2 linked regions of the Saccharomyces cerevisiae S288C genome follow. The protein of the gene in region 1 purifies or fractionates together with the protein of each later gene. This does not show direct contact. Each region holds a gene or a part of one and is shown in the gene's direction. Other genes may lie near its edges.

Region 1 (6,213 bases):
TTATAATCAAAATTTCTCTAATGTTTGGCTCTTCGTAGCGCGCGATGTGCCCTTTCATATTTTTCCTGAAAGTAAGGTGGCAAAATAGTAAATCTGCAGTAATTGGGTATAGCCATGAATATAGGAAGTAATAGGGCTCAGATTCTCAGTGTGTGGACAAACCAATTCTGCCTATTTCCTTTCACTCATAAGTTATACAAGAGGCAATCGGATAAAATTCAAGTATTTATAAAGTAAAAACCACAACAAGAATGGAGGAACTAGGTATTGTGACACCTGTCGAAAAGGCAGTCGAAGAAAAACCAGCCGTCAAATCATACGCATCATTGTTGGCTCAACTCAATGGTACAGTCAACAATAACAGTGCCCTGTCTAATGTGAATTCTGATATATATTTCAAATTGAAGAAATTAGAAAAAGAGTATGAACTGCTGACTTTGCAAGAAGACTATATTAAGGACGAACAACGCCATTTGAAACGTGAATTGAAGAGAGCTCAAGAAGAAGTAAAGAGAATCCAGTCGGTTCCATTAGTTATCGGGCAATTCTTAGAACCTATTGATCAGAACACAGGTATTGTTTCTAGTACCACAGGTATGAGTTATGTCGTTAGAATATTATCAACCCTAGACCGTGAACTATTAAAGCCATCTATGTCTGTAGCTTTACATCGTCATTCAAATGCTTTAGTTGACATCCTACCACCTGATTCCGACTCTAGCATATCCGTAATGGGCGAAAACGAAAAACCTGACGTCACTTATGCAGATGTTGGTGGGTTAGATATGCAAAAGCAAGAAATCAGGGAAGCCGTAGAGCTGCCATTAGTTCAGGCTGATCTATACGAGCAAATCGGTATTGACCCTCCTAGGGGTGTTCTATTATATGGTCCACCAGGTACCGGTAAGACGATGCTTGTTAAAGCCGTCGCCAATAGTACAAAAGCTGCATTCATAAGAGTTAATGGCTCCGAATTTGTTCACAAATATCTTGGTGAAGGTCCAAGAATGGTTCGTGACGTCTTTAGACTCGCCAGGGAAAATGCTCCATCCATTATATTCATAGATGAGGTAGATTCCATTGCCACAAAGCGTTTTGATGCTCAAACGGGTTCCGATCGTGAAGTACAGCGTATCCTGATTGAGTTGTTGACACAAATGGATGGTTTCGATCAATCCACCAACGTTAAAGTCATCATGGCTACAAACAGGGCAGACACATTGGACCCAGCTTTGCTGAGACCAGGCAGATTAGATAGAAAGATTGAGTTTCCCTCACTTCGTGATAGGCGTGAACGTCGTTTGATTTTCGGTACCATTGCCAGTAAGATGTCCCTTGCCCCAGAAGCGGACTTAGACTCGCTTATTATTCGTAACGACTCTCTATCAGGTGCTGTTATTGCAGCGATCATGCAGGAAGCTGGTTTAAGAGCAGTGAGGAAAAACAGATATGTCATCTTACAAAGCGATCTGGAAGAAGCTTACGCCACTCAAGTCAAGACAGATAATACCGTCGATAAATTCGACTTCTACAAATGATTACCATATATGCTTCAACGTAGGTCTACATAAAGTATTACGTACATTTCTATCTAGACAACACTAAATGAAATAAATACAGACGCCACTTTTTTATCACGTTTCTTAGCGTTATTCCGCGCGCAACCGGACGTCGCTAGCCAAGTTTTTCACTTTTTTTTTTCTGTGATATTTTTTTTTCCAAATGAGATGGTAAGATGAGTACCTATCAACAAGTATCTCAATCAATAAAGTACAACCAAAATATCAAGTACGCAGTCTCTGCTTCATCCCAGTGTAGATTTGCTATTCGATTTGTGTCATAAACATTTAACATTGCGCCCGTCTACAACAAAGGAGATAAATCAAAAAAGGAAATGGTACAAGAACAGGCAATTTTGAGCTGCATTGAGCAGACTATGGTTGCTGATGCAAAAATTATCAAAGAGGCAGAACAGCAGTTATTTGAGTTCCAGAAGCAACCTGGGTTTACTTCTTTTCTGCTTAATATAGTGTCTGATGATAATTTTGCGCTAAATGTTCGTCTTTCTTCTGCTATTTATTTGAAGAATAAGATTCACAGATCATGGGATACTAAGAGAGAAGATGGTATAAAAGCTGACGAAAAGCTTTCGATCAAGGAAAGGTTAATCGAGACTTTAGTTAAAAACTGTGAAAATAACCACATTAGGCCTATCCTGACTGAAACCATAAATGGGATACTTGTTGGTCAGGAAGATTGGGATTTAGCACCTATTATCAAGAATTTATTATCGAGCGGTGACGCATCGTACATTTATCCCGGGTTACTACTACTGTTCCAACTTTGTAAAGCTCATAGGTGGGACATGGTTGGGTCGAGAGATTATATTGATTCTGTTATCGAAGAACTTTTCCCTATTGTGGAAGGGATAGCTTCTAATATCGGTAGTCAAACGGATTACAGATCTAATGAAATATTGTACCTCATTTTGAAGTCATTCAAGTATGCATGTTTGAACAACTTGCCTCAATACTTCAGCCAACCTGAAAGAATTATGTCATGGGTGCAACTACATTTGTATTTATGTTCCAAACCATTACCAGTCGAAGTAATGGAACTGGATCCCGCAGATAGGTCCCTAGACAAAAGGGTTAAAGTGAACAAATGGGGGTTCGGTAACTTAAACAGATTCCTGCAAAGATACAACAAAATTACAAAGGCCATCACCAAGGAATTTATCGACTATATCTTCAATACTATTGTTCCTATAATTCTTCGAGAATTTTTTAAGGATATTGAAGCTTGGGGTAATAATTCACTATGGTTATCCGATTCCTCTTTGTATTTCTTAATTTCATTCCTAGAGAAATGTGTTACAATAGATCAACTTTATCCTTTAATTGAGCCACATTTACAAATTATTTTTGAGAACGTCATCTTCCCATGTTTGTGTGCTAATGAACAATCCATCGAATTATTAGAAGATGACCAAGAGGAATATACCAGGCGTTATTTTGACATTAACAGAGAAGGCTCTACGCCAGATGCTGCTTCAGCAGATTTCATATTCTTGATTGGGTCCAAACGTCCTGAGAAACTGAACAATATTTTACCGTTCATTAATGATATTTTTACTAGATTCGATGCCAATTCCAGTGATATTAACATGGCATTTAAAGAAGAGGGTGCTTTGAGAACATTGTCTAACTTGTTTTCGTTTATAGATGAGCCATCCGTTCTGGAGAATATTTTTGGACACTTCATCGTGCCATTGTTATCGCAGGATAAGTACATGTTTTTGGTTGCAAGAAGTTTGGAAACGATAGCGCTGTATTCGGAAGAATTTAAAGATATGAACATATTGTCACAATTATTTGAGTTAACATATACCAACTTCTTAAACAGTAACGTTTTACCAGTCCAAATTGAGGCCGCAGATGCCATTAAATGTTTAATTGTATCCAATCCTCAAATCCACCCAGCGGTCTCTGCTCATGTTCCAGGTATGATGGAAAAGCTATTGAAATTGTCTAAAATCTTTGAAATCGATATCTTATCTGAAGTCATGGAAGCATTGGTGGAGAGATTTTCAGATGAACTATCCCCATTTGCTAAAGATTTAGCTTCAAACCTAGTCGAACAATTTTTACGTATTGCTCAAGCATTGGTAGAAAATCCATCGGAAACCTACAGCGCAAGTGACCAAGAGCAGGAAATCCAGGCCAGTGGATTGTTACAAACAATGACTACTATGGTCATGTCAATGAATAAAGTTCCATTAATCGAGTCCTTAGCTCCCGTGGTCAAGTTTGTTGTACTTCATGCACAAATTTCTTTTATTACGGAAGCTGTCGACTTACTGGATGCTTTAACTATTTCTTCGCATCTGCTTTATAACCAAATTGCACCACCAATATGGGAGTTGTTACATGATATATTGGATTCTTTCCAAACTTATGCCATGGACTATTTTGAGGCCTACAGTATTTTTTTTGAAACCATCGTGATGACCGGCTTCCCACAAGATCAAACTTATGTTCAACCTCTGCTAGAAATTCTCTCTGCTAAACTGGAAAGTGAAGTTGACTACGACATCGAGCATGTTATGCAAATTCTAATGTACTTCGCACTGTCCATGAGAGACATTCCATTATTCAGCAAAGCCATCAAAGTATCCACTAATGATGAGCTAGGATTGGACTCTAAATGCATCGTTAAACTGGGACTGGCCAATTTGTTTGCTAAACCAATCGAAACTTTACAAATAATGGAAAATGAAGGTTTTACTATAAATTTCTTTACCAATTGGTTTAATGAAAAGTTCTACAGTGTCTTCGCCATCAAATTACAAGTCCTGGTCATTTTAACCCTTTTGAAGATGCCTGAAGTTCCTAATAGTGTCAGCCCACTACTAAATAACCTGACCAATAAACTGGTGGAATTGACATTATCATTGCCAAAGGCAATTAGAAACCGTGATGCTGTTACCGAGGGCAAATCCTTAGAAGGAGACCTGACCCCAGAAGAAGAAGAAGAATACTTTATCGAATGTGATGATGATATGAAGGAGACAGTGTTAGACCAAATTAATGTTTTCCAGGAAGTACATACCTTTTTCAAGAATTTGCAAAACGAAGATGCCGGTAAGTACGAAAAAATCATAAATTATCTGGATGAATCTAAGAGAGATTCCTTGCAGGTAATTCTGGAATTTGTTTCTCAACACTGAGGAGAACACAAAAAAAATAGTGGAATGTGATAGTTTGAAATAAGGATATTAGTTTATACTCTAATATACAAATATAAAAGTTGTTTCTTTTTCGTTCTTTTTTTTTTTTGGACTTGTCTTCGTTTTTATTACATACATGCATGCGCTTAACATATTCCCATGTGGTTTATTTTCGTATATAGCATTACTTTGTTTAGAAGCTTCTATTCAAGAAGAATCCTCCGACTTAACCGGATCAGATACACTATTGTGGTGTAATCTGGACCTTGACTGTCTAAACAACTCCTCTTGTTGTCGTAGCAGCTCTTCTTCCGAGAGACCTGACTTCTTGAACTTGGAATCCCTAGTTTCTTTCACCTTCTGGGAACCCTTAAAATTCAATAATATTTCCTCTAAGAATGGTATAAACTCATTATACTCCAACTCTTCTAGCGCTTTGATCACGTGCTCGGGCGCTATGGTTTTCTTAGCCTCGTTGTCCGCCATTTCGGAAGCCATCGAGGACAGGATCATTATGAATTCTATGCCGGAGTTGATGATGATTTCTCTTGCATCCTTGGTAAACATCAAATCCTGGTCCAGTATTTCAGATATCATCTTTTGTACGGTCGCTAAGATCATTCAGTGTTTTCTCTAAGTTAGTATAACCGCTCAGTACCCGCATCAAAGCTTGAGTTTTGCAACAACAATATAACTAACATACCCTTGGGAAGCGACACATTATCGGAGTCTCCAGCCATCAATTAATTAATAGGTACAACTGTATTAGTAAATATCGTTATGATTTCTTGCCCACCTTATACTGGTAACTCTGCACGATAGAAATCGACAAGGCGAGCAGAGGGCGAAAAGCGCGACCAAAAACCGCTTCCATTTATATAGGAGGGAGAGTGCAGCGGGCTGGGCGTTTTAAAGTGGTGCAAGAGTTAATTGCACATACTGGAATACGCCAAAGATAAGAGCCCGAGCTGATTAAACCAGATCGTAATTTTTGCGGCGACTATTCGCATGAACAGGCTATGCTGCATAGTGGTGGCATTTCTTTACAATAGTTTTGGTTGAACGTGTTGTACAGTTCCCCTTATTCTTTGATTGTCATTTAACACGGGGATGAGCTTCTTGACAAAAAAATTTTATCCAATTTTTTTTCATTTCTTTTTCTAATCTTTCGCAGCTGAAGCGATGAGGTGAAAAAATTAACAAGTATTGGATAGGATATATGTATGTAAAGATAGATGCAGAGCATATATAGTTTAAACTTGGCTTAGCAAGAGGGTAAAAGACACATTTGCCTTATAATTGTTCATTACCGATGGATTCTCCTGTTCTACAGTCCGCTTATGACCCATCAGGTCAGTATTTGTGTTATGTCACTGTAGCTTTGGACAAGCAACGCGTTGGTGTACAGCCCACTCAAAGGGCCACTTCCTCCGGAGTTGATACAGTGTGGAATGAGAATTTTCTGTATTTAGAGGACTCGAAAT
Region 2 (4,283 bases), 900 kb from region 1:
TAAAATAATATTTTCATTTCTTCTATTTTCCTCTTTTCTTCGTTTTCTTGACTTCATACTTCATTTTTTGTTTGACTCCTTTTTGCGTTATGAAACGTGATGCTTCGATATTCTCATTGGTTTCTTAAAACTTTAGCAATATCGGACAAACAGCCGTATTTTTTATTCTTATTTTTACTGCTTGATACAGTACCCCAGTCAGTGGCTGTTGAAACTCTGCCACTTGCCGTTTCTGATAGTACTTGCTTATAAGTTTTCATTGAATGACTTTTTTCACCAGCGGTATAGCTCTGAAATAATTTGTGCATATACGATCTAACTTCTTCTCTATTGTAAGGTTGTTTATTCGCTCTTTTAAATTTCTTATTTGTGGATGATCCATTGGCGGTGGAACTACCCTTTATATTAGCAGGCGGCGCGGTAGATGCGATGGTTTTAGTCTTCGTATTAGCAGGTTGTACAGCCACGGAATCATCTTTTCGTGCCTGCTGTTGCTGTTGCTGTTGCCTTGGAAGGGCTTTGGCAGCTGCCTGCGCCCAACCTGTTAATTTTGGCTTCTGAGGAAGCACAGCGGGCGTTGGACCATTTGAATTTGGACCTGAAGCAGATAAAGTAGCCTTCAAAGTCGAGGAGGTTCTGCCATCTACACTGGTTGTTGAGGTTGTTGTCATTTCGTACTAGATTAAAGGGAAAATTGTATCGTAAATAAGTAATAAAGTTAATGAAAATTCGGAAACAAAAATGGATAGATATTAAACAGTGAACAAATGAAAAATTTCAGAAAAAAAGAATTAAAAAAAAAAAGGGAAAAAATATGCACAAGATCGTATTATTTGTTGTTCCTCGTATTTTTCTTTCTATTTAGTCTCACATTTTTGACACATGCCTGGTGTTATATATACATTACAATGGAAAGTTCTTTTCTCTTTCTCCGAATAAAGTAGCGGTCTATTGATCACTTCTTACGCTGGGTATATGAGTCGTAATAAATAAAATCATCAGAATCATTCGTAAGTCATTTTACTTTTTTAAAAAGATAATTACAGTTTTTGGGTCTATATACTACTCTAAAAATGTGGTGGTGGCTTAATGCATCTTTTTTACAGATGAACCTTCGTTATGGGTATTGACATCGTTGCTAATGCTGACAGAAGGCACAGGCTCATTCTTGATTTTCTTGTTCACTTTCTTGTCATGTTGAAGAGCGGCATACTCAATAGCTTGTGGTGGGAGGGTTGTATCGTTGATGGCGGGAGAGTAGCCAATCTCCTTCAAAGTGTCAACCATTTGATCTCTAACTTTTTCAGCAAATTCACCAATTTTGTCCTTTGTTAAGTTCTCGGTTGAAATAGGTTTTAAAATTCTAACAATCATACAGCCTCTGTTGAAGACCCCATATTTAGGACTTACTAAAGTACTGGTATTGGAAACAACCACTGGAACAATGGGGATCTTACCCTGTTGTGCCAAATGGAAAGCACCCTTCTTGAAAGGCAACATTGTCAGCTCACTCGTGTAAGACCTGGTACCCTCAGGAAAAACCCATAGAGCACGCTTGTTTTTCTTAACATTTTCTAAACCTTTATTCAAGGTGTCAATGGCTTCTTGCCTTTTAGATCTGTCTAAGAAATATGTACCACTCAAAGCCATGAACCAACCCAGAAAGGGGACGTATTTCAAAGACTTCTTGGCAGTAACTGTGCAACCAGGGGGGAAAATCCTACCTAACATGAAGATATCCAAGGTGGATTGGTGATTGGCAATCATAATATATGGCTTCTTGGCCAAATTCTCCTCGCCAACGACCTTGACGTCAAGGCCAAGCATCAATTTCATGACATGGTAAAAACAACGCGCAGTAATCCACTGAGCCAAATGTTGCTTACCGATTAACGTGCAAAGGATAGAGGCGATTACACCGTAAAAGCCACAGCCTGCAAGCGCCAGTACGACCAACACGGACCTCAAGTAATACAAGAACCTACCTATCACACTCATTATTTTTTTGCTCGAATTCACTGACGGAGGGAAACCACTAAACTTCTCTATTGAAGAATTCCCCCTTCACCTTAAACCCTTCCTAATATAAGTATTTTGAACACCATACCATATTCTCAACAAAACAAAGGAAGCATAATTGATATCATCATTCACGAGATCCATCTCGTGACCGTGAAAAAATTTTCGTCTTCGTCTTAGTGTAATGTGTTCAGCCCAACCTCATCGCAATATCTCAAGATTTTTGAATTACAACCAAATCAAAAGCACAGAGTCGCATCTCATCGCTATGATGTATTTTTTTCTTTTTCCAAAAAATGGGTTCTATTTGGTTCTACTGGAACTAAAGTAGCATCTGCAAAGAAGTAATGTCTGAAAAACCACAACAAGAGGAGCAAGAGAAACCACAATCAAGACGTAATTCATTTGCTGTGATTGAATTTACTCCAGAAGTCTTGGACAGATGTTTAAAGCAAGTGGAATTCTACTTTTCTGAATTCAACTTTCCATATGACAGGTTCTTGCGCACAACAGCGGAAAAAAACGATGGATGGGTCCCCATCAGCACCATCGCCACATTCAACCGTATGAAGAAATATAGACCAGTGGATAAGGTTATCGAAGCACTACGTAGTTCTGAAATTTTGGAAGTATCTGCTGATGGAGAGAACGTCAAGAGACGTGTTCCTTTGGACCTAACTGCTGCCAGAAATGCCAGAATTGAGCAAAACCAACGGACTTTGGCTGTAATGAATTTCCCACATGAGGACGTTGAAGCTTCCCAAATTCCTGAATTGCAGGAGAACTTGGAAGCCTTTTTCAAAAAATTAGGTGAAATCAACCAAGTGCGTTTGAGAAGAGATCACAGAAACAAGAAATTTAATGGTACGGTCTTGGTGGAATTTAAGACAATTCCAGAATGTGAAGCTTTTTTGAAATCGTATTCCAATGACGATGAGTCCAACGAAATTTTGTCATATGAAGGTAAGAAACTGAGTGTTTTGACGAAAAAACAGTTTGATTTACAGAGAGAGGCCTCGAAGTCCAAAAACTTCAGCGGTAGATCAAGATCCTTTAACGGCCATAAGAAGAAAAACTTGCCTAAATTCCCCAAAAATAAGAAGAAAAACGGCAAGGAAGAGTCAAAAGAGGACTCTTCTGCCATTGCCGATGACGATGAGGAGCACAAGGAGTGATTCTTGTGTTTCTTCTGGTTCTCGTATCTCATTATCATAGCATATTAAGAATATATGTACTAACATATGTACTAAACAGAAACACAATATGAATTACAACTAATACTATATTATTTGTCTCCTTTTTTTATTAGTATTAAAAATTACCGTTACTGGTTAAAATGGAATACAGCTCATCCATTTAAAAAAAAAAAAAAATAGAATAACAATAATTAAGCAGAAAAAATGTTAACGAATATAATAAATCGATTTGTCCATTTTCATAAATTTTTTTTTTGTATTATTTCATTATCTGTGCCTCAAAGCATTAACTTTTCTTGCAGTCAGAGAGAGTCTCTTGCGTGGATTATACCAACCGCCATTATCAGCCGGCATAGGGGCCGGCGTAGCATAGTTACTATCAGCTGTAATTATGTATGACCACCCTGGTGTTACGGTAGTATGTTGATCAACGGAGTTTCTTAAAGTGTAGTAATACGTTACCTCACTGGTCGCGTACTTCCTTTTCCATGTCTTTGCTGTTACCTTAGTAGCCGGTTGGAGTTGCATGGGAGCATATTTCACAACACCTGTTTGTAAGTTGTAGGGAACGGTGAAACTCTTAGAATCAATCGTGGCACCCACATCTCCTGTGGTAATTCTTGTTTGTGCCTCTGGTGCAATGGTTATCATACTCGGATTAGCGGCTTTTGTACCAATCATCCCTTTTAGTTTAAATCTGTTAGTGTAATGAATGGTGTAACCGATAGCTGTTTGCGCAAAGACTTGTATGAAGTAAACACCGTCCGTCCCAACGGTGTTTTCTATTATCGCATTGAACTCGTTGTCTGTCAGATCACTCGCACTGAGTGTTTGAAGAGTAGCCATTGCTTCTATCATGGCATTGGTACCCGAACACAGAGTAAACGTGTATCTGACAAAATCCTTTTCCTGTGGTGTGTTATCTGTATGCATCCACTTTACTTTGACAACAGCCTGACTTGTACCAGATAAATCATAAACTGAGTTGGGTTCTGGAGCCACAATGGCCACATCACAATAAGCTGTTCGGAACACTACCGAACAAAATAATGTTAAGAATAATACTAT

What was found.
Region 2: the proteins of SXM1 (region 1) and LHP1 purify together in Saccharomyces cerevisiae (affinity purification with mass spectrometry; 4 studies listed by BioGRID, with this or other methods). This does not show direct contact.

The regions. Positions count from the first base shown.
Region 1 is NC_001136.10:1,261,430-1,267,642, forward strand, and holds SXM1 (Sxm1p), read left to right. Parts: upstream 1-1,894; coding exon 1,895-4,729; downstream 4,730-6,213. Other genes in the region: proteasome regulatory particle base subunit RPT3, read left to right, coding at 252-1,538; negative cofactor 2 transcription regulator complex subunit NCB2, read right to left, coding at 4,937-5,340, 5,433-5,469; UTP5 (Utp5p), read left to right, coding at 6,042-6,213.
Region 2 is NC_001136.10:361,586-365,868, forward strand, and holds LHP1 (tRNA maturation protein LHP1), read left to right. Parts: upstream 1-2,366; coding exon 2,367-3,194; downstream 3,195-4,283. Other genes in the region: PBP4 (Pbp4p), read right to left, coding at 114-671; 1-acylglycerol-3-phosphate O-acyltransferase SLC1, read right to left, coding at 1,087-1,998; KNH1 (Knh1p), read right to left, coding at 3,483-4,283.